Xenopus tropicalis: one gene and its partners. The protein of the gene in region 1 interacts with the protein of each later gene in a biochemical or structural test. Links are inferred from orthologs where the notes say so. Each region holds a gene or a part of one and is shown in the gene's direction. Other genes may lie near its edges.

Region 1 (7,380 bases):
CTTTAAACATAATGCAGGGGACCCACATAAAAGGCAAGTAGGTGCATAGCTAGGGCATGGGCCCAACAGTACCCCAGGTCATTAATCATTTGAACATAACATTTTATTTTTTTTCCTGGAAGCTGTATATCTTGAAACTGTATTCTTAGACTGTGTACTGGATATCAGTTACCACTGGGTATTGTGCTGCCAGTACAGAGTGGTTCACAGATGGTGCTGCTATGCATGCATAGCTATGTGTTCTTGGCTGCATTCCTGGAGGCAATACCTACACCAGTGATCCCCAACCAGTGGCTCATCCAACCCCTTGGATGTTGCTCCCAGTGGCCTCTAAGCAGGTGCTTATTTTTGAATTTCTGGCTTGGAGGTATGTTTTGGTTGCACGAAAACCAGGTCTACTAACAAACAAAACCTTCTGTAGGCTGTCAGCCAATACACAGTCTACCAAATAGGCAATTATAGCTCTTATTTGGCATCCCTAGGATTTTTTTTACGCTTGTATTGCTCCCCAATCCTTTGTATATTTCAATGTGGCTTACGAGTAAAAAAAGTTTGGGGACCCTGACCTAGACAAAAAAGGGGGGAACTGGGCACCATAAGACTAAGAAGCAATAAAAGCACTAGGAATAAAAGAGAAGCTAGAAAAAATGTTCACCACACTAGAAAAAAAAAACACCCGTAATTGAAATGCCTCTAGAATATCAGACCAAGCTTGTCTTTAGCTGAAGAAAACCCATAGAACAGAAGACACCTTAAATATCATCTAAGAGACCAAACACTGACTCTCCTTTACCCAACATGGGGCACAGTGCTCTTCCTTTCACTAACAGCCATCTGAGAAGCTCCTGGCCATCAATCTCTGCTGGGACCACATTCATACCTTCCCCCCTACCTATATCCATAGAGCCTGCACATATACAGTGTGAGCTTAGTGTAGCTAAGTGTCATCCGGCTGATACTAACCGTACTTGCAAATGTAAATTATTTTCTAAAAATCACTAAATGATTTGCTAATGCGCCGTACCCTCACTCACTGATATAGTGCATTGGCAGATAATTGGCTGATAATCTTTGGTTTGACAAGTTTGCAGGAAGATCTGTCAGAATGACTGTGTGGGACCTAATGAACATATTTTTGAATCATCTAGTTCCCCAGGGACCCAAGTTCAACTTCCCAGGCAGCGATTGCCAACCTTGCGAGCTGGTCCCGTGTCGTGGAGAGAGAACCCACTCTCACAGAACATGGAAACCGTATAAAAAAGGGGAAATCTAATTCATCAAATATATAAATAAAATTGGACTGAGAACTTCTGATCAGATAAATCAATTGTTTGCTTTCACTCTATATCTAAAGGTGGCCATACACGGACCGATTTTTTACTTACAAACGACCGATTCCCGAACGATCCGATGCTATCGTTAAGTTATCGTATAGTTGGTGGTGTACGAACGATCGTCGGCCCACTAAACGAGCCGACATTACCGTCCCCAAAATCGATCGGCCAGGTTTAAAAATTTTGGTCGTTTAACGATAAAATCTGCCAGTTGGTGTGAGTGTCAGACATTTGTCTTTCAACGATTGTTCTCTGCGCATGTCACGATTGCCAGCAGCAGAAGTCAACGACATCGATCGTACGTAGATGTACGATCGTAGGTATTTTACGATAATGATGCGACAAAATCTTTCCCGAATTATCGTTGCCCGTGGATGGCATATCGTATGGGAACTCGATCGCCATACGATCGTTTGTCGATATAATCGTTCATCGCACAACGAGCGAAATCGCCTCGTGTATGGCCACCTTTACAAACTCCTCCTAACCTTCAAAGCCCTCTATTCCTCTGCTCCTCACTACATCTCTTCCCTTGTGTCTCCGTACGTTCCTGGCCGACTCCTTCGTTCCTCGCAGAGCAATCGCTTGGTTGCGCCCCCCACTACTACTGCGGTTTCCCGCCTTAAACCTTTCTGCCCCTTACATTTGGAATGCCCTCCCTGATGTCCTCCGGAGAGAATCCTCCCCCAGTCTTTTTAAGACTAAACTAAAAGACTTTAGACTCACCCAGCACCTGATCTGGGAACTGGCACTTATATTGTAGTGTCACCCACTGTGACCTACAGCACTTATATTTGCCTATTTGTGTCTGTAAGTTACCCCTCCCATATAGATTGTAAGCTCTACGGGGCAGGGACCTCCATCCTCTTGTGTCTTTGACTCTTAACTTATTGCAGCTGTATTTATCTGTATTTATTGTTATACTTTGTATTTATCTATTATCTTATTAACACCCTGTTTACATTAATGTATTCTACTGTACAGCGCTGCGTACATAAGTAGCGCTTTATAAATAAAGATATATATATATATATATATACACATACATACATAAATACTCTACATGCAGCTGACTGAAATGAAGCTAATTGGTCATTGGTTGCTATAGGTTACTGCCCATGTGCAAATTCACCCAGGGTTGATAAACGAGCAAAATCATCCTCACCTAGGAATATATCAATGATAACACTTTTAAATATAAACCTAATGTTCATTATATTTGTCACTAAACACAAATACTGACATCAGGCAACACCATGCTCCGCCCCAGCAACAAATCGCAGCGCCTTTCCCTTAACTGTTTCGGGCGAATAGAACCAGTATAGCTATTGGTTGCTTCTCTAGGGGCGTAACCCTATGTCTTGCGTACTGGGATTGGCTCTACAGATATATTTTGCTAAAGCGATTGGCTTAGCTTAGCCTGTGCTCTTCTCTCATTGGGTCAATTACCGCAGCACATCGAAAGGATTGGCTATCTGAGGAGCCGCCCCCTGCCGGTATGGCTGCTTTGCGGGAGGAGCACGGAGCGAGCGGACCCAAGATGTTCTCCTTGAAGAAATGGAACGCGGTGGCGATGTGGAGCTGGGATGTGGAGTGCGATACGTGCGCTATCTGCAGGGTGCAGGTCATGGGTGAGAGATACAGCTCGCTGGCACTGGGGCGAAGGCTTCGTGTTGCGGGAATTACCTTCCGCTGCCAGCAGCAGCCCTGCTTGGGGAATCGGCCATACAGTCTCTGGTGGGGGCCGGGGGTTACTGTCACCTACTGAAATGACAGGCGCACACAGGCGGTATATGGAATATACCATTACCCTTCCTGTATTGTCATCCTGGGGGGAGAGGGACATCCCATTCCTAGTAGCTTTTTATGCCCCCCTGGATGACTCAAATCTCCATAGACAGTAATGTTGCTATAGCCCCTTGGCTATTTAGCATCCTTCCCCCCCTCCCTGTGCCAATGCTTTCACCCCCCCATCTGCCCCATCTGTTTGGATTTTGCCATGATATTCCCTGTGGGACTGCACCCATGCCCACCAGTTACACTACTGCCCATACACCCCATTGTGTCACATCATTTATTCCCATACACCCCATTGTGTCACATCATTTATTCCCATACACCCCATTGTGTCACATCATTTATTCCCATACACCCCATTGTGTCACATCATTTATTCCCATACACCCCATTGTGTCACATCATTTATTCCCATACACCCCATTGTGTCACATCATTTATTCCCATACACCCCATTGTGTCACATCATTTATTCCCATACACCCCATTGTGTCACATCATTTATTCCCATACACCCCATTGTGTCACATCATTTATTCCCATACACCCCATTGTGTCACATCATTTATTCCCATACACCCCATTGTGTCACATTATTTATTCCCATACACCCCAATGTGTCACATCATTTATTCCCATACACCCCAATGTGTCACATCATTTATTCCCATACACCCCATTGTGTCACATCATTTATTCCCATACACCCCAATGTGTCACATCATTTATTCCCATACACCCCATTGTGTCACATCATTTATTCCCATACACCCCATTGTGTCACATCATTTATTCCCATACACCCCATTGTGTCACATCATTTATTCCCATACACCCCAATGTGTCACATCATTTATTCCCATACACCCCAATGTGTCACATCATTTATTCCCATACACCCCATTGTGTCACATCATTTATTCCCATACACCCCAATGTGTCACATCATTTATTCCCATACACCCCATTGTGTCACATCATTTATTCCCATACACCCCATTGTGTCACATCATTTATTCCCATACACCCCATTGTGTCACATCATTTATTCCCATACACCCCATTGTGTCACATCATTTATTCCCATACACCCCATTGTGTCACATCATTTATTCCCATACACCCCATTGTGTCACATCATTTATTCCCATACACCCCATTGTGTCACATCATTTATTCCCATACACCCCAATGTGTCACATCATTTATTCCCATACACCCCAATGTGTCACATCATTTATTCCCATACACCCCATTGTGTCACATCATTTATTCAAATAAATGATAAAAAACATAAAGTGTTGGCTACTTGTCCCACAGCATTGATGTTAATAAAGGATCTAGTTCTCTATATTGTGAAATATACACAAACAAACACTATATGGTTTGAAGTATCCAGACTCCCCTTCAGATTAGTGGAAGTTATTATTTAAGCCACACTTCAGTCTCATTACTGATCTGGGGGTATAATGAAGCACCAGCAACAAATATTGCCAAACTTAGTGATTTTTAACATGGCATCATCATAAGATGTCTGTTTTGTTGCTATTTAGTTTGTGAGATTTTGGTGCTGGTGAGATGTAGGTGGGAAAGTGAAGTAGTGGGGCCTGGATACTCGCAGGCAATGCTGAGCGCAGATTACAGCACATATCCGTCAGTTGGAACACTCACTTCTGAGCTCCACACTGTTCCTGAAAGCAATGGCAGCACAAGAACTGTTGGTAAAGTAAGAATAAGGATTTCTATGAGAGGGCAGTGTCACGCAAGCCTAACATTTGGAATGCTAAGCTTCTCCTGGGGAGGATATTGGGAGCAGTGGGAACAGGCCTTTGTCAGATGAATCCCTTGTTACCATCCTAGTTGTTTACCAAATGAGTGTGGGTGACAGACACCAGCTGGACACTCCCTACCTGAATGCATAATGCAGATTTAAAGCTTGGTGGGGAGGAATAATAATCAGTTAGGGCCCCATTGAAAGAAACAGTGTACTATACTGTTAATGACGGTTCCATGTTTTCTACTTTGTGACAACAGTTTGGGTACAGTTCCGTCCTCTTTTATCCATACTAGTCTTCCTGTGACTCTCATGGACCCATTCAGTTCCTGCGACTATCCCATTAATTTACATTGGCATTAAATCCCTACCTCACCCTGGTCTATGTAGAAATGAAAAATCTCATGTCAGATAGGTCTGTCTGTGATTATATACACACATGCACCTCAGATTGGATTCAAGCCTCTTCTGCATGGAATTCCTTCCTGTTTAGCCACATTATATAATTTATTTTTTGCTGCTGGGCAGAAGAGGGTTATAAGAGGAAATATTTTAATGGAAGGTGTGTTTTCCTTTCTAGATGCCTGCCTGCGCTGCCAAGCTGAGAACAAACAGGAGGACTGTGTGGGTATGTTAATAACTGACTGGATTTCTAAGCCCGGGGAGAGAGTTCATGGCTACCTAGTAGTGAGTGGATTAAGATGCTGGGCTTACGTCACTGTGTGCATGGGGTCATTCCTTCATAGTGAAGGGCAAATGTCTTAAGCAGTGCTTGCTTTTTATCCTGATTGGAATTGTCTCCTAGAGCTGATCTTTATCTTTCTATACTTTATTTCCTGTCAGTGTTTGCCTAGCTCTCCACATTAGAAATAAGCTTGAAGGCAGCGAAAATCAGGAAGTACATGATCTGTTATAGGATAAGGGGAGGCTAATACACAGGGTTGGGTGCCAATATGCCAGGTACCCCCAGTGTTTGTAATCGGACTGGTTCTGTAGTTTATTAATGATTGCACTGATCCTTTCTCACTAAGCTATGTACCAGCATCTTTGTAATATGTTAAGTGGCTATGACTTTGGGCCCTACCCAACCTCCCCAAAATAATCCCCCCCCCCCTTGACATTGCCAGCACTTCCATTTGATTGGGGAGTAAATGCAGGTGAGAAGATTGTACCTCAGTAGTTAAAAGAACATTGTATGCCATAAGGGTAAATCAACTCCAAGCTTCTCAAACCAGCAATGTTATTAGTGATGATTATGGGATGTAACCGTTTAGACATTTTACCTAAATATTGAATTACACTTGCTGGAACAACATTTTGTCTCCTGTACTGAGACAGCGCATTGGTGCAGTGGTAGCATTAGCTGCCTTGCAGCACTGGTTTCCTTGGTTTGATGTATGTGCCCCCTGTGCTTGCTTGCATTTCCTCTTGGTACTCGCACAAAGCAACAATGGGCTTATAAAGTACACTTACCAAGTGGAAAAGATGGTCCAGGTGCTCCAGACCCTTAGCTTAGGGAGCTGATATCCGTGGGCAAAGGACATGATTAAGTGCTCATAGGACACGAAACGCGTAGGGCATTTGGATATGTTAATTTTTTAATTTAGCTTTGAATAACAAATTTATTTTACCTTTTGTGACCATCATGGATTCTTTTGGTCACAACAGTATATATACAAACAGGCAGGTTAATTGGCAGCTGATAGAACTGACCATATTTGATGTTAATGTGACAGTTGCATTAGGTTGTAAACACTGGGACAGGGACTGATGTGAGTGGCACATACTCTCTGTATATGGATATATTGGTGCTATATAAACAAAGGCTAATAATAAACAATGAGTTACAGAATTACCCAAATGTGCAGAATTTTGCTATTCACACTAACTTTCTTTTTTTTGCAGTGGTGTGGGGAGAATGTAACCACTCCTTTCATAATTGCTGCATGTCCCTATGGGTAAAGCAGAATAACCGCTGCCCATTATGCCAACAAGACTGGGTGGTGCAGAGAATAGGCAAATAGCCAGCGTGGGACAGTCCATACACCATCCGTACCATCAGGAGAGGCATGTCTGATTTTGTGCCTGCCCGTGATTCAGGCAGTTAGTGTGCAGTGGTTCCTACTGGTGTGCATTGATTTTCTGCAGATCCCAGGGCTGGTCATGTCCACCAGCGACTGCTAATGTTCTGCTGCCTCTGACACTCTCAGTCCAGGAGAAAAGGGAATAAAGACGCTAGTATTTTTCCTTTGTACCTTGGACCCGAGAAATAATATTGTGTGCTTTGTGTTTGTTTAAATGTGCAATAAACCAAATTCTCATTCTAGTGAGAGTGCCATAATATTCTTGACCAGCTGGAATTAGCAAAACTGAAAAATATCTAATAATGTGGGGTACAAAACATATTCTGTGGCCCAGAACAACTTCAAATATCTGCCTTTTAAGGCAAAAGCTCACTTAAAATTGATTGTAGGC
Region 2 (7,682 bases), on another chromosome or scaffold:
AAGTGGTTGGGTAACATACAGGCACAAACTGGAAGGTAAGAGTGCATCAGGTATGGGAATTTGCCCTTAAGCGCAGGACTGGGCAAAATAATGTTTTAGTTAATGTTTTGTTTAACATGATACAAAATTATTGGAACTATTTATTAGGATGAGAGGTACCTTACCTGCAAGCCAAGGGCCTGAATAGAAATGTAAGTAATAGTAGCAGCTACTTGTCGTGGGTACTAAAAAAAAAACAATGCTGATCTTTTACTGATAAGTGTCTGTACATATGTTGAATTACAGAAAGGCTATCTCCCATAGACTCCACTATAAGAAATTAATTCTAATTTTTAAAAATGATTTCCTTTTTCTCTGTAATAATAGAACAGTACCTTGTAATTGATCCTTATTGGAGGGTAAACGATCCTATTGGGTTTAAATGATGTTTAAATTATTTTTTAGTAGACTTATGGTATGGAGATCCAAATCACGAAAAGATCCCTTATCCAGAAATGCCTGGGTCCCGAGCATTCTGGATAACAGGTCCCATACCTGTATTGTCTATGGCAGGTTATTTTCTGGTGTTTTGTAGCCGTGACAAGTTGCTGCTACTAAGTAGCTCCATGTGTCTTCGCCCTAACATTGTAGCCTCACAAAGTTTTCATTTGTACACATTAAAAGCTGAAGAGAGGCAGAAGAAGAAGACAGTTCAAAAAGCTGATTATGCATATAGACTCAAGTTTGTGATATATTTTCTGTGATAAACAAAACTACAACTAAATAAAAGATATACATAATACAATACAATATAATTGCTAAAATATACATTGCAGTTATTACATTTTATTTCTCAAATTCTATTGATGCTTCAGCTAAAGCAGTTATCATGGACATTTAAAGTAGTCTTTTTACTGCTGAAACAGTTGCATTGCACCAGGATGGTCCCAATTACATTGGTGTCTACCACCTCAAGAACCAAGTTCTTAAAATACTGGTACTGCCTTTGCAATGATGGTGTCAATAGAAAATGAGTTCTTGCCACTGATACTATTATACTGGCCATATACAGTATTAATGCACCTGGCCAAATGATTTGATTCCTTGGTCTTTCCTTCCAAGAAATGCCATCATGAGGTCAGGCAAAATAACCTAGGCCAGGAAAGCTTTGAAAATATTTAAGATGTTTTATGGATAATAATCTGCAAGCCCGTTTGGCCAGTTTAATACATACCAGCTTTCTGCACCTAAAATGCATGTTCAAGTTGTGTTCTGTTCTAACACATTTAAAATGACTACCCAACAAAAGGGTGGATGATCCTATGATAGAAAATTAAAAATACTGTTCCTTCGTGTTTTATTATTAAACTTAAAATGCACACCAACATCATATAATAATAAGCAAAAGATTCACTGGGCCAAATGAAAAGCTATTAAGAGTTAGCGATGTCATCGCTTCCTGCTGTGTTTCTTTACCCATCTCTTTTTCACTTGGGAGGTTGTTGCACTTTGCTGAGTTGTCCCTCTGGCCTGCTGTGGGCAACAAACTTCCTCAATGGTCTTGTGCATGCCCTATCCATTTCTGGTTACTTTGGTCTCATGGCATACCTGCACACACCCTTACTGGCCCATTCTTGCGCAGAATCAGTTGTGGGATTCAGAAATGAATAATCATCCCTGTAGCATCAATTTATATGACAGACAAACCTTATTTTCTGCTTTATAATTTGTAACAACCCCTAAGCTTAGCTTCTCAGCCACTGCCCAGAGCACACTGAGCATGTGAGTGTCACAGACTCTTCTAACAGAGTCATTCCCTGTGACAACTCTGAAATACTGGATCAGTACTATAATAAATATGCTAAACCTTTAGGCTGGAGCAATAAGTCCAGTATATAAAAACTTCCCAACTTCTTGCCATATTAATTTTTAAGGGTTTAGATCTCCTTTAACAAGGAATGTAACTTTAAAGCAAGCACACCCTGTGACTGTTGGGAGCCTGCTGAATAATAAGTAGTTTCATTATATGTATATGAAAGATATTATTTCTAATTTCAAGGTGTGCCAAAATGATTTTTCAGGGCCTAGTAACTTCTACTTATGCTACTGTTTACAACACCGTACATGGAGTAGGAAGCAACTAGTCTTTAACTAGTAGTAGTGAAGTGGCATTTTACAAAGTGTAGCACCGGCCTGATGGAAAGTGTTGGGGGCACCCAATAAATTGCCACCCACTGAATCTAAGTTTCCCTGTCCTTTAAAGTGCACCTATGACCCTTTAACTGCTTCTCCCACCAGAGGTGCAGGCTAATAGACGCAGCACTTTGGTTGAGGGAAAACGATAGTTTGGTTTTTAAAAAATACAGCAACTGCCATTTCTAGGCTGCCCGCACCTGAATGAAGCTCCCAGTACAGGCAACCATGTTGTTTGCCATGCGTGGGCATAATAAATGCGCCTTTCCACTTGCAGATGATGCGCATGCGCCTGATCTAGGCGTGGTGGATGCAATTCACCCTCCATCACAAGCATGCACATAATAAGCAACTTGTGGCACTCACTCATTATGCACATTGTGAGAAATGAGGCAATATGGCTGCCCACACCTGGAGCACTCTTCTGCTGCAGGCAGCCTAGCAATGGTAGGAGCTTTTTTTTTTTTCACAAAAAGCTATTGTTTCCCTAACCTCTGATGAGGGAAACAATTTGAGGGTGATAGGTGCCCTTTAAGGTGAGCTGTATTAGAAGGTTATATTCTAGGAGATTAAAGGATATATTCACTGTTCATTCAGAAACTTTGTGTCAAGTTGAAGTTTTCTACTGCACTACTAAATAAAAGCTCTGTAAATCACGTTTCCCCACTAGAAACCAACATCTAGCTTTGTTCCCATCAGCCTCAGCAAGACCCCTCCTTCCTCCGCTCAGATTACACTTCCCTCGCACCAGTGCGTCACAGTGTTCGTGGGCTTGTGGGATTTGTAGGCTGCTCCTCCCACAACGCCGTGGCTTCACTTGCAGTTTCCGGCACCCGTTACTCTTCCAGCCAGCAAGTTAATTCGCAAAGCGGCTCCGTTGTGCCGTAACATGTCGTAATAAAGCCTTTAGTCGTCTAGCAGCCCCTTCTTGCTAAAACACCAAAAGCCTACTGATCCCATCCTGCCCTACGCGGAGGACGCTGTGGGCTCCTGGTTAGAAAGCGGGGAGCGGAACTACCATGGCCCGGCCGGTGGCGCCGGTGCCCAGCTCTCAGAAGGCCTTGATGCTGGAACTCAAGGGGCTACAGGAAGAGCCGGTGGAGGGGTTCCGGGTCACCCTGGTAGATGAGGGGGATCTGTACAACTGGGAGGTGGCAATCTTTGGCCCCCCAAACACCCTCTATGAGGGGGGGTACTTCAAGGTGAGGGTTAGGTGTGTGTGAAATGGTGGAGTTCGTGATCATAGGGGCCTTGGGGAGGGAAAGCCACGCTGGGGGGTATTTAAAGAGGCAGTAAGTAATAGAGGCGTGGGTGGGTATTGCGTACATCGCTGGGCCTTTCTGCACAACAAGCTTTCCTTTGTTTATGTGACTCCTACAGCCATAGCCGTAACTTGCCCGAAACTAATGTTTCACATGAAACTCAACCAGCCCTCAAAGCTACCCCAAAACTAAAACTTACTGAAAGAGTGTGGCACTACTAAATCTTTAATCCTGTTTTCTGCGAGTTGTAGTCCAACAACAGCTGCTAGGCCCCAGCCACAGGATGCACGGTGTTAGAAAGCAATAAAGGCCTTTGTGTAACAGGAAAACGCTCTAAACTCTTCATCTAACTTCTGATTTGGCACTTTGTGTTTGTGGAGATACCCTGGGTTTATATGTATTCATCCTGTGCCTATTTCATAAAGATTTTCAGAAGATTAATCAAACATAGGCGTTCCACTCTTTTACATTTTAGTATGCCATACTAGCTACATGTATGAAGCCTCATTCTTTTAAGGATTAAAGGGGTCTCTATACTTAGTTTTGGGCAGTTTTGTTAAGATGTGCCTTCTATAGTGTGTGTGTATATATATATATATATATATATATATATATATATATATATATATATAATATTAGTTTCAAGGGACTACTTATTCCTAGACATTTGCACAGATCAAGAAATTTAATAGGGGTTTATAATGAGATGTTAAATGGCTAGAACAATGTAATTGTGTTTTACAGGGGTGGTTCACCTTTAAGTTAACTTTTAGTATCTTATATAAAGACCTATTCTAATCAACTTTTCGAATATTCTTCATTATTTGTTTTTCATAGTTTCTTAATTTATTTGCCTCCTTGTCCTAACTCTTTGCAGCTTTCAAATGGGGTCACTGACCCCTGAGCCAAAAAAAAATCATACTAAAAAGTTAAGTCAAAGGTGCACAACCCCTTTAAAGGGGTTGTCCACCTTTTACTTAATTTTTAGTATGATGTAGAGCGTAATATTCTGAAACAATTTGCAACTGGTTTTCATTTTTTATTTGTAGTTTTTTTTAATTATTTCAGTTTTTGGTTGTCTCCAGCTTGGAGTTTCAGCAGCTATTTGGTTGCTTGGATCCAAATTACCTAAGCCACCATGGTGTGATTTGAATAAAAGACTGATATATAAATACGAGAGGGCCTGAATAGAAACATAAGTAATGTACAATAACAGTTAAACTATAGCTTCGCAGAACAATAGTTCTTTGGCTTGGGGGTCAGTGACCCCCCTTTGAAAGCTGCAAAGAGTAAATAATTCAAAAACTATGAAAAACATAATGACTAATTGAAAAGTTGCTTAGAATTGGCCTTTCTATAACATACTAAAAGTTAACTCAAAGGTGAACCACCACTTTCAATATATGTATAATATACATATTATTAGGGATACACTGAATCCAGGATTTGTTTCGGCGTTTGGCCAAGATTCTGCCTTTTTCAACAGGATTCGGATTCAGACGAATCCATGTGCCTGGTTGAACCAAATCTGAATCCTTAAAATCACTATTTCTTTATGTAAACCCAGAAGTTGAACATTTTTATTCCTTTTATAGGTTAGTTTTCAAATGCAAATTAGAGTTTGGTTCGGTATTAGGCCAAATCTTTTACAAAGGTTTGAATCATAAAACTCTGGAATTGGTGCATCTCATTATCCAGCCTCCCTGGAACTGAAAACAGACCTTATTTTTTATTTACTTATCATTAATCTGATGACAGCTGAGCTTGCTTACCCATCATGCAGTTCTATAAGTATGAGATCTATTATTCTGAAAGCTTTTGGACATAATTCAAATCTTTTATTGGGGCCTCTTGCATGATAGCCACATTCAGAGTGCCAATGCACCCTCATTCAATAGGATTTTCAAACTTGCCGTATTGAAAATTGATCAGCTATTGGTCAGACGGGCCCTATACACGAGCCAATAAGCTGTTAATTTGGCCTGGAGGCACTGACCTAGCAGCTTTTATTGGCCCGTTTATGGCCTGCTGAAGCATTTAAAAATAAAAACCAAGATGATCTTTTAGCCAGAAACATGGATTTATGTTAGCTTAGTTATCATAAAGCACAAGATACTGTTTTATTGTTACTACAGAAAGAGAGCAAACAAGTAAAAAATTAATAAATTACACTTTTTTTTTTAATAGACTGAAATTTGGTTGATCTACTCTTAGATATGTTGCTTGAGAACCATTATTTTGTGCTAATCGGAGCTACGGTGTGTTATAACAAAGGCATGGATCTCAACCATACTCACTTGCTTGTTAACCATTACATGTTCTTTTTGTCCTAGGCCCGCTTAAAATTTCCAGTTGATTACCCCTACTCTCCTCCTGCGTTTCGTTTTTTGACAAAGATGTGGCATCCTAACATCTATGAGGTTAGTAAAGACAGGTTGGCTTCTTCCCTTGGTGTAGGATAAAGACAGTTGCATATAGGGCATTTTCTCATCACTGAGTAAAATGCACACTTTTTCAGCAGCACTTCCCATTCAGAGTGGGATTATTTGCTGACTGTGGTACACTGCAGTGCCACTAAGGTTTAACTTTTGTGTTGTAATGTAAAAATTGCCTTAGTTACATGATCTTTGATACATTTTTTTTATGAATCACTGAGCTTATACAAATGCTTCGCTACCCTTGTTTTTATAAGGGCAGAAATTCCTGCTCATCCTGATTTTTCCATTTTCATTATATATTAGTGTGGTTATTTTGTTAATGGCTAGGTATACTAGTCGTTACGTATTCATATATATTTCTGTTTTTTTTTTTATGAATCATTCTCTCCCAAAATGGATGAACACATTTGTGCCTTAGACAATGCCTAAAGATCAATGTTCTCAGCAGTCTATACCAATTTAGTTGTTTCATAGACTTCTAGTATTGCATAGGCCACTCTTGCTGGACCTTGGTAAGTGACTGCTCAAGTAGTCATCAAGGTATACTGCCGTAGGTGTAATGTCTTTTGTATTTCCTGTTCTCTCTACCTCTAGCGGTGCCAAAGCTTCTATATTAAGCTGTCCATTTACTGTAAGATTCTCTGCTTTGGGAAGGTTGCCAAATGAGTGGATCCTACATTCTATATGCCTGCCTAAGTTAGGCAATATCAGGAAAATCCGATTTTTGCCCAGATATCCGTCAGGGAGGCCCATGATAGAGCCCCATACATAGGCAGGTAATCTGCCAAATCGGTCGGTAGGACCTAAATCATCATGTATGGCCACGTTTACACTAGGGATAATTTTCTAATTGATCTAAGATCTGATAATCGGTATTAGCCTACTTCTAATTATAACATCTAATAAAGCTTGACTATCAATAAACCAATAATTCTCACCAATGGACTTCAGAGTCAGGTCCAATACTCACTGGCAGTTACATATGTAGCTATTTTATAAATTAAAATTGTTTGACTTGTTTACTTCTTTTAAAGGGCTAAAGCCCTTGAATCTCTGGCCATTTAAACAGAGTACAGTTGACAACCATTTGTTGTTGACTATATCAGTCAGCTTTCAGGGGCCCTGTGCAGTTGGTTTGCACTAAATTTTAGATTGAAAAAACCTGGATGACCAAACCTTGCTTAGCAATATTTGCATTCATTAGCCAGCCTGGGGTTAAATTGGAGACAAAATTACCAGAGTGACAGAATAAAAGTTCTTAGGCAAAACATCTGAAATTGTCACATCTCCTAGATTCTAGGTTTCAAGGGGCAGCCTGTTTGGAAAAGTGGTCAATTACATGACTTCTGTTGCTAATGGAAGTAATGATTAGATGTTCCCCTAAGAGCACTCTGCTGTTAAGTTTAGCATTATAGCATTGTTTAGCATGTATTGGTTTATAATGTGCATCTTATGTTTCATTTCTTCAGAATGGTGATGTATGTATTTCAATCCTGCATCCTCCAGTGGATGACCCACAAAGTGGAGAGCTACCTTCTGAAAGATGGAATCCTACCCAGAATGTGAGGTGAGTGTTTTTTAAATCTTAAAGGAGACATATTCGATAAATGGGAAAAACCCTAATATTGTAGGCAATTATGAATAATATATGGCGCTGGTTTACCTTTGTGCTTAAAATTAATCCTATTTGTAAAAATGTTGGAGCTCCCTATAGTTCCTATCTCTTCTCTGACCATGTTTGAAATGAAGGGTGGGTGTGTCCTAACTGTCCCTGCCTGAAGCACAGTAGGAGGGGGATAGCCAATCACAG
Region 3 (7,355 bases), on another chromosome or scaffold:
GATGGCTCACTGCTGAGAATACAAAAGGTTGTGATTTTAAAAAGGACTATTGCATACATATGCCCTTTTTCTGCCAATCCAGTATAGCAGGGCCAGCCTTAGGTCAATTGAACCTATTGGGCCCAATAGGGCCCCACTCCAGGGGGAGTAAGCACATAAAGCTGTCTATCCCGCCCCCAACAATAATTGCCCAATAATACTGTTATGTGTTCTGGGACATTAAACCCCCCCTTTCACTGTGTATAGTGTGTTGGAGGGACCAATCACTCTCTCTCGCTGTATGTAGTATGCTTGGCGTGTCAGTGCACAGTGCTTGGGGCCCACATTGTGCCATGAAATGTTGGGGGCCAATGGAACAAGAGAAAGTGGTGAAAAGGAAGGGTTACACCATCAGTCACATAGTAAGAGGCAGGAACTATTTACCCATACATTCCTGGAACCCTGTGCCAGCTGACAACACTTTGTGCAGGGGGCCCGCCAGAATGGTTCCAATTTGGCCTTGCAGTTTATAAGACCAGCCCTGCACTATAGGTGAGCTGTGTCTTTGTTTGCATTACAATTCCATCTACCATTATTTAGTGTATCAGGCATCATTCCAAACATTCCCAAACAGCACTCACTTGAGCTGGGAGCTCAACTAAAACCACATTGTTTGCACATTGCGAAATCAAGTGATTTCCATTTGGTAATATTTGGATTTATGTTCCCAATTCTTCTACAAATGGCAGAACTGCCAAATGGAGTACTACATACAAACAGTCATTAAAAAAAGTTTGGGAACCCCTCTTAATTCTTTGGAGTTTTGTTTATCACTGGCTGAGCTTTCAAAGTAGCAACGTCCTTTTAATATATATATATATATATATATATATATATATATGCGCCTTATGGAAACAGTAGTGACATAAAGTTTATTAGATTAACAGAAAATATGCAATATGCATCATAACAAAATTAGACAGGTGCATAAATTTGGGCACCCCCACAGAGATATTACATCAATACTTAGGGGCTGATTTACTAAGACACGAATTCCGACTGAATTGGAAAAATTCCGATTGGAAAACGAACATTTTGCGACTTTTTCGTATTTTTTGCGATTTTTTCGGCGCCTTTACGACTTTTCGGAAATTATCGCGACTTTTTCGTTACCAATACGATTTGCGCAAAAAAACGCGAGTTTTTCGTAGCCATTCCGAAAGTTGTGATTTTTTCGTAGCGTTAAAACTTGCGCGAAAAGTTTCGCTTTTTTCGTAGCGTTAAAACTTAAAAGGCGCGACGTTTTGCGCAAGTTTTAACACTACGAAAAAATCACAACTTTTTGCGCAAGTTTTAACGCTACGAAAAAATCACAACTTTCGGAATGGCTACGAAAAACTCGCGTTTTTCCGCAAAAATCGTATTGGTAACGAAAAAGTCGCGATAATTTTCCGAAAAAATCGCAAAATACCGATCATTACGAAAAAAACGCAATCGGACGCATTCGGCCTGTTCGTGAGTAAGTAAATGGGCCCCTTAGTTGAGCCTTCTTTTGCAAATGTAACAGCCTCTAGACGCCTCCTATAGCCTTTGATGAGTGTCTTGGTTCTCGATGGCGGTATTTTTGACCATTCACCCATACAAAATCTCTCAGTTAAATTTGATGCCTGTTGAGCATGGAAGTTTCCTCTCAACGCAACTTCTGCGATTTCAGTGAAATCGCGCCACCACGTATGCCATCCCACCGGCGATTTACACTTTCGCCGGTGGGATGGCATTTCTGGGAGATTAGTCGCCCGGGAACAGGGAGATTTGTCGCGGGCGACTAAGCTCCCCGTGTGCCAGAGCCCTTAGGAAAAGTTGGGGAAATTGCTTGTAGCATCAGGAGACTGGGGGAGGGACAGTGCAATTAAGTAACTACCCAGATTATAGGGGGAGTTGCAGAGCTGTCAACCTCCGATAGTCAAGGATGTGCAGTGTTATTTTTTCGTGCTAACCAGAAGTGATGTCAATACATGTGCATAACTGACCTTTGAAGCTGAAAAATTGTTGATTGCGCATATGCAAATGCTCACTATGTTGTCACTGAATGCACATGCATGAATTTAATGAGAAAAATCAGAATGCTATCAACAGACCAGAGACATGGGAGAGAAAGCCAAATTGGGTAACTCAGAAAAATATAGGGGGGTTGACAGCTCTGTGTAAGCACATATGGGGACTCTTCAGTGGAAGATTATTTTAGTTTCCCCCTTGCTGGACAGACTTTTACATGGGGTGGAAAGGGGTGGTATGACAGGAACAGTTTATGGCAACTACTCTGTAACATTAGAGAAGTACTGCTCTCCTTCTAATGACTTGACTGGGTTAGTTAACATCCTTGTTACAAGAAAACGTCAAACGATTGAAATTTGAGCAAAGGTATTTTATACTTTTCACGTCGTAATAAAAACAAAAAGTATAATAAAAAGTATAACTTCAAGATAATACTCTTTCCTGACAGAACTTTCCCACACACGTATTATTTATTTATTTATTTATTTTGATAGGCAACGGAATTCTTCCAATCACAATAAAGCATAGCAGTCTACTTTAGCCAATCCCGTACCTTTGTTTAAAACGCCTACGCTTCCGACACCAAACTTGCCAGTCTCTGCGGAAACCGTTCTGTGAGCATTCCGATTGGTTAAATTAAATATTTAAGCGACGCTGATTGGACGCTTTGTGTAGAAGTTAAAAATTTCAAATAGAGGGCGGTAGGTTTAGTTACAGAATTAAGAGGAAGCGTCAAAGATCTCTGGGAGTGGAAGCCGGATACTCAGCAACGTTCAAGGCCCGGTTTTTGTCATTTTTACATACCGATGGCTTCACAGAATGTGGATCCAGCTGCGGCCAGCTCGGTGACTGCAAGGAAAGGACAAGAGTCGGGGACCTCGGCCGCCCGTGGCTCTGTGGGAAAGAGGTGAGGAGAGCCGGCTCTTGGGAACAATGGCCGCTGTGCTTATGGCGATGGCAGTGTAGCTGGATCTTGGCACACCCTCTGTATAATTCAGATGGGTCACTTGAGATATTTTGCTATCAAATTTTATTCAGCTTATAGCAGCTATATCTCTGTTTTCTAAACTTCATTCATTTTACGTATCTCTTCCACTGCTTAGTTACAATATACAGGTTTTCTCTACTCCCTTTAATATCCGCTACATTGTCTACAGTGTCACATCCTGTTTTTGGTCCAGATCTGTGGCTGCCATGGTTAGTAAATTGTTCTGATCCAGCTTGCAGTCAAATGAGTTTAGAGTTTAGTGTCAGTTCTAAAACCAGTCCAAAAGTCTGAAAGTAGCCCAAAAATAGGCCAAAATGTGCAAGTATATATGGGAAACATGCCTTTTTAAAGCGTATAATCACTACCCAGTTACTGGGAATGCTGATAATTCCCTGACCTCTGTGCCCAGTCCAGCTGGGAAGACTACAAAATTAGATTCCGAATGTTGCATTAACCCCAGACATGAGATACATATGGGTGTGCTGAACTACAACTCTCAGCAGTCCCAAGATATCCGGAGAGTTATATCTTAATGATCAACTGCAGAACTGCCCCCACATCACAGCAGAAAGTAATAGTACAATCACATACCCTATAGAGCAGGTTGCAGAATATACAGGTTGACCCTGAAAGAGCAAAAAGGAATACAAAACAGAGCCTCTATCTATACTGTCCAATTGCATGCTGGGTATTGTAGTTTTATATTAATCCTAACTGTAGATTAAGGCTCCAAAAAATAGCCCCAAACTGTTCCTTGGTGGGTTTGTACCTTGGAAACCTGCCAGGGCTTTAAATTGGTAGCCCAATTTTGCAGAAACACCAACCTGGCAACTCTGCTGCAAGTGTGGCCATTAAGGAAAGCACCATTGACTTGGGGAGGGGGGTAGGCAATATGTAAGACACCCCCACCCAATGGCTGTAATTGCTTAAAGCCTTAAACAAAGGTAGTGTTATTTTACATGCCATCCCAGGCAGACTTCAGCTGCTAATTTGGCCACTTCAGACCTAGTCTGTAGCTTATCTGCCTATGTATGGGGCCTTCAGACTGTCTGAAACTGGATCAGACATTGATAATGCACTGACTTGGTGTGCCATTCACTGGGGTGGGGGGGGGGGGTTGCAGTCATGGTCCTGTAGCCAGAGGGTGTTTGGGGTAAAGGATTCTGGTCTAAATCTAGAATAATAAAATCATATGTCTAAAGGTGGCCACACACCTTTTTGAGATGGGTCAGTCTATCGGACTGGACGACCTTTTGGCTAACAAAGTGTAGTATCGAAATGAGAAACACTTGGTCCTCTGGCCTTTAGGTTGTCAGGCGGAAGCTTGATGAAAGCAGAGGAGCTGTGTTCCCATAAGGGAATGCCTGACATATTTTAGTTGGGGACTTTGCACATGCACCTTCTGCTTAATTATGCTTAACTTAATTTGCCCTGGCAATTAGGACGGCGGGAGGCATTTTTCTTTTTGGCCGCCAGCTGGAGCCTTACCAAGGCAATCCATGGCATTGCACTCGCACACTTCAGCACCTGTCTTGTTTGATTTGTGCACCATGGATTGGTGTCATAGTCCTCTGGGTTTGACCCCAGGCCAAGACCTGATGGGTCTCACACTAGCTTCGGCAAAGGTGGACGTACCCGCCCATGCTGTTCATTGGTGAAAGCCTTGGACACATGAGCATTGGAGCCCAAGCCTTCACATAGGACTCACGCAATGAGTCAATATTATCATCAGCCTGGTGGAGCATGCACAGAAGAGGAACTGGAGATTTTGTTCATTAGAGTGCGTGTCACTGTTGACCTCCAGATTCCCTTCCCTGTATAAAACCATCAGCAAATGGCAACCTTAGTTTATGGTTGCTATAGCTGCCTGCTGATTGTGATTGCACCGATCTGCAATCTTTGTTTTCTCCAGTGATGGTTCTGTCTTCTCCCACTTCCCCAGCTGCCTGCTACTGCGCAGAAATGGCTAAATTGGCTAAATATTTAAGTTCATTTCTAGTATGTTATAGAAAGGCAAATTATAAGCAGCTTTTCAAGTGGTCTTCATTTATTTTTTTTTATAGCTTTTGCCTTCCAACTCTTTGCAGCTTTCAAATAGGGGTCACTGACCCCAGCAACCAAAAAACTATTGCTCTGTGAAGCTACAGTTTAATTGTTGTTGTCAGATTATATTTCTCTATTCAGGTGTTCTCCTTTTCAAATCAGTCTTTCATTCAAATCACACCCTGGCTGCTAAGGTAATTTGTATCCTAGCAACCAAATAGCTGCTGAAACTCCAAGCTGAAAAGCAAAAGCTGAAATAATCTACAAATTTGCAATTGGTCTTCATTTTTAATTCTCAGAATATTACTATCTACATTATACTTAAAGTTAACTCAAAGATGGACAGCTTCTTTAAGATGTAATGGAAGGCAATATGGTGGCCGCAAGTTCAGCTGGCCAGAATAGTTTAAAGCCCAAACAGGGATAAGGTATGTATTGTGTTTAAAAAAAAAAAAAAAAAACTTGGCTATTAGGTTGAGAAAATGTAGATCAAACCAATGGTGACTAGTTAGAGGGTTAACTTGTCCCTCTATGTGCAACAGAACCAATTGATAAATCTCCCCTATATTCATATAAAGCACATTAATACCAAGTGAAGCATAACATCTCAGCTGGTAGATATCCATTATTTACCCATATTGTCTATGACCATAATATTCCAATTCTAAATCACTTAGTCCTTTTGCCATTGCTATAATTTTATTAGCAAAATTACTCTTTGCCCCTTATTTTTACTACCAGTTACTTAAGGAAGCCTATCAATTATGTATACTTATTGTCAATAGCCATAAATATTGTACCGTGAGGCATCCATTATTTATTGCTGCTGTCCATAATGCTGCCTTTATCCCTCCATGGCGAATGCTAGCATCTGTCTCCATTATTTTGGGCTTAACAAGTAAGTTATTAACATTCAAAAAGCCTAATGTCTAGTGACTCTTCTTCCCTTCTGCCGGGATCTGCTGTTCTTAGAGGGCCATGCATGAAAAGATTGCCTGCCAAAGACTGCCACACCCATAGCAAATTCTTATTGTGAGTGTGATTTGTAGCAAAGCTTAAGTGCCCACCTATTTTCTTTCTTCTCTCGTAGGTTACAGCAGGAGCTGATGACCTTAATGGTGAGTGTAAACTTTATGTGCATACAATGAGGATAGTACTTGTGCTTTATACTTTTTAAAGGGAAATTCTGACTTACCAACCAAAGTTTTGTAAGAGCCACACACAACACCAAAACTCTTAATATATATCACTGTAATATGTTCCTTCAAAAAATGAATATAACTTTTATATGCTGAAAGCCATCTGCAAAACAGTTCCTTGCATCATTTGAAATCCTGGCAGGGGAGAAGGGACTAAAACATTGATGTTACAAATTGTAACAACTTTCCAAATTTTACAGACAGCATGTGGAAACTACATAATCCACAATGCATTGCACCGTGGCGTTCCTTTCCTTAATGACATGTTTGCAGGGAATTGTGGGATTTAGAGGATGCAGGCGGTGGAGAGTCAACTACTGTTTTATTTAAATCTCACATTTGTCTGCCAGATCATTAGGAGAACAGGGGGCAAGGCTTATGGAGCCATTCCAAACCATGTTACATTAAAATTCATGAAACTGCTGTGTTTTAAGTTGATCTATATTGCAAAGTTGCTTGAAATTGTTTACTTTTTAAAAAGCTTGTTTTGTATGGGTGGAATTCCCCTTTTAATAAGCTGTTGAGGGTTTTAGGAAACTTGATCTTGTATGTTTTTTCTCCCCTAGATGTCTGGGGATAAGGGAATTTCTGCATTCCCGGAGTCTGATAACCTATTTAAGTGGATTGGAACCATTGATGGCGCAGTCGGCACGGTAAGGCTTCATGACACATTTTGAAAGCTGCTGCCCTTTCAGGGACACCTGATCAAAACCCTTGCCTTCCTTAGTTGCTTTCCATGCATTCGCAGATGAAGCCCTGCCAAATGGTGATTGCCAAGGAATGTAGAAACAACTAATACCTACCAGGCAGAGGTAGTGTGCTGTAGACTTTGCACGCAATCCACAGTTCTTGCCTCTCATCAGCTGCTTTCCATTAATTTAAAAGTTAAAAGCAATGACTGAATTATCTTGTTGAGGTATATTAAGGAGTCTTATGTTGGATATTCTGCGCTAATAAAATTTCTCAATTTTTGTAGGTATATGAGAGCCTGCGCTATAAGCTGTCCCTGGAATTCCCTAGTGGCTACCCTTACAATGCTCCCACTGTGAAATTTGTTACACCATGCTTCCATCCAAATGTAGATAGTCATG

The links. The genes of interacting proteins can lie anywhere in the genome.
Region 2: the proteins of rnf7 (region 1) and cdc34 form a complex in vitro, tested with the Homo sapiens proteins (5 studies listed by BioGRID). The link is inferred for Xenopus tropicalis from reciprocal best matches to the Homo sapiens genes RNF7 and CDC34.
Region 3: the proteins of rnf7 (region 1) and ube2c form a complex in vitro, tested with the Homo sapiens proteins (4 studies listed by BioGRID). The link is inferred for Xenopus tropicalis from reciprocal best matches to the Homo sapiens genes RNF7 and UBE2C.

Annotation. Positions count from the first base shown.
Region 1 is NC_030681.2:129,412,647-129,420,026, forward strand, and holds the start of rnf7 (RING-box protein 2), read left to right. Parts: upstream 1-2,793; 5' UTR 2,794-2,832; coding exon 2,833-2,965; intron 2,966-5,485; coding exon 5,486-5,533; intron 5,534-6,810; coding exon 6,811-6,929; 3' UTR 6,930-7,380. UniProt on the Homo sapiens protein: Catalytic component of multiple cullin-5-RING E3 ubiquitin-protein ligase complexes (ECS complexes), which mediate the ubiquitination and subsequent proteasomal degradation of target proteins.
Region 2 is NC_030677.2:105,627,819-105,635,500, forward strand, and holds the start of cdc34 (ubiquitin-conjugating enzyme E2 R1), read left to right. Parts: upstream 1-3,034; 5' UTR 3,035-3,191; coding exon 3,192-3,374; intron 3,375-5,767; coding exon 5,768-5,854; intron 5,855-7,341; coding exon 7,342-7,439; intron 7,440-7,682. UniProt on the Homo sapiens protein: E2 ubiquitin-conjugating enzyme that accepts ubiquitin from an E1 ubiquitin-activating protein, and catalyzes its covalent attachment to other proteins by an E3 ubiquitin-protein ligase complex. In vitro catalyzes 'Lys-48'-linked polyubiquitination.
Region 3 is NC_030686.2:19,652,894-19,660,248, forward strand, and holds the start of ube2c (ubiquitin-conjugating enzyme E2 C), read left to right. Parts: upstream 1-2,707; 5' UTR 2,708-2,840; coding exon 2,841-2,941; intron 2,942-6,155; coding exon 6,156-6,183; intron 6,184-6,830; coding exon 6,831-6,917; intron 6,918-7,240; coding exon 7,241-7,355. UniProt on the Homo sapiens protein: Accepts ubiquitin from the E1 complex and catalyzes its covalent attachment to other proteins. In vitro catalyzes 'Lys-11'- and 'Lys-48'-linked polyubiquitination.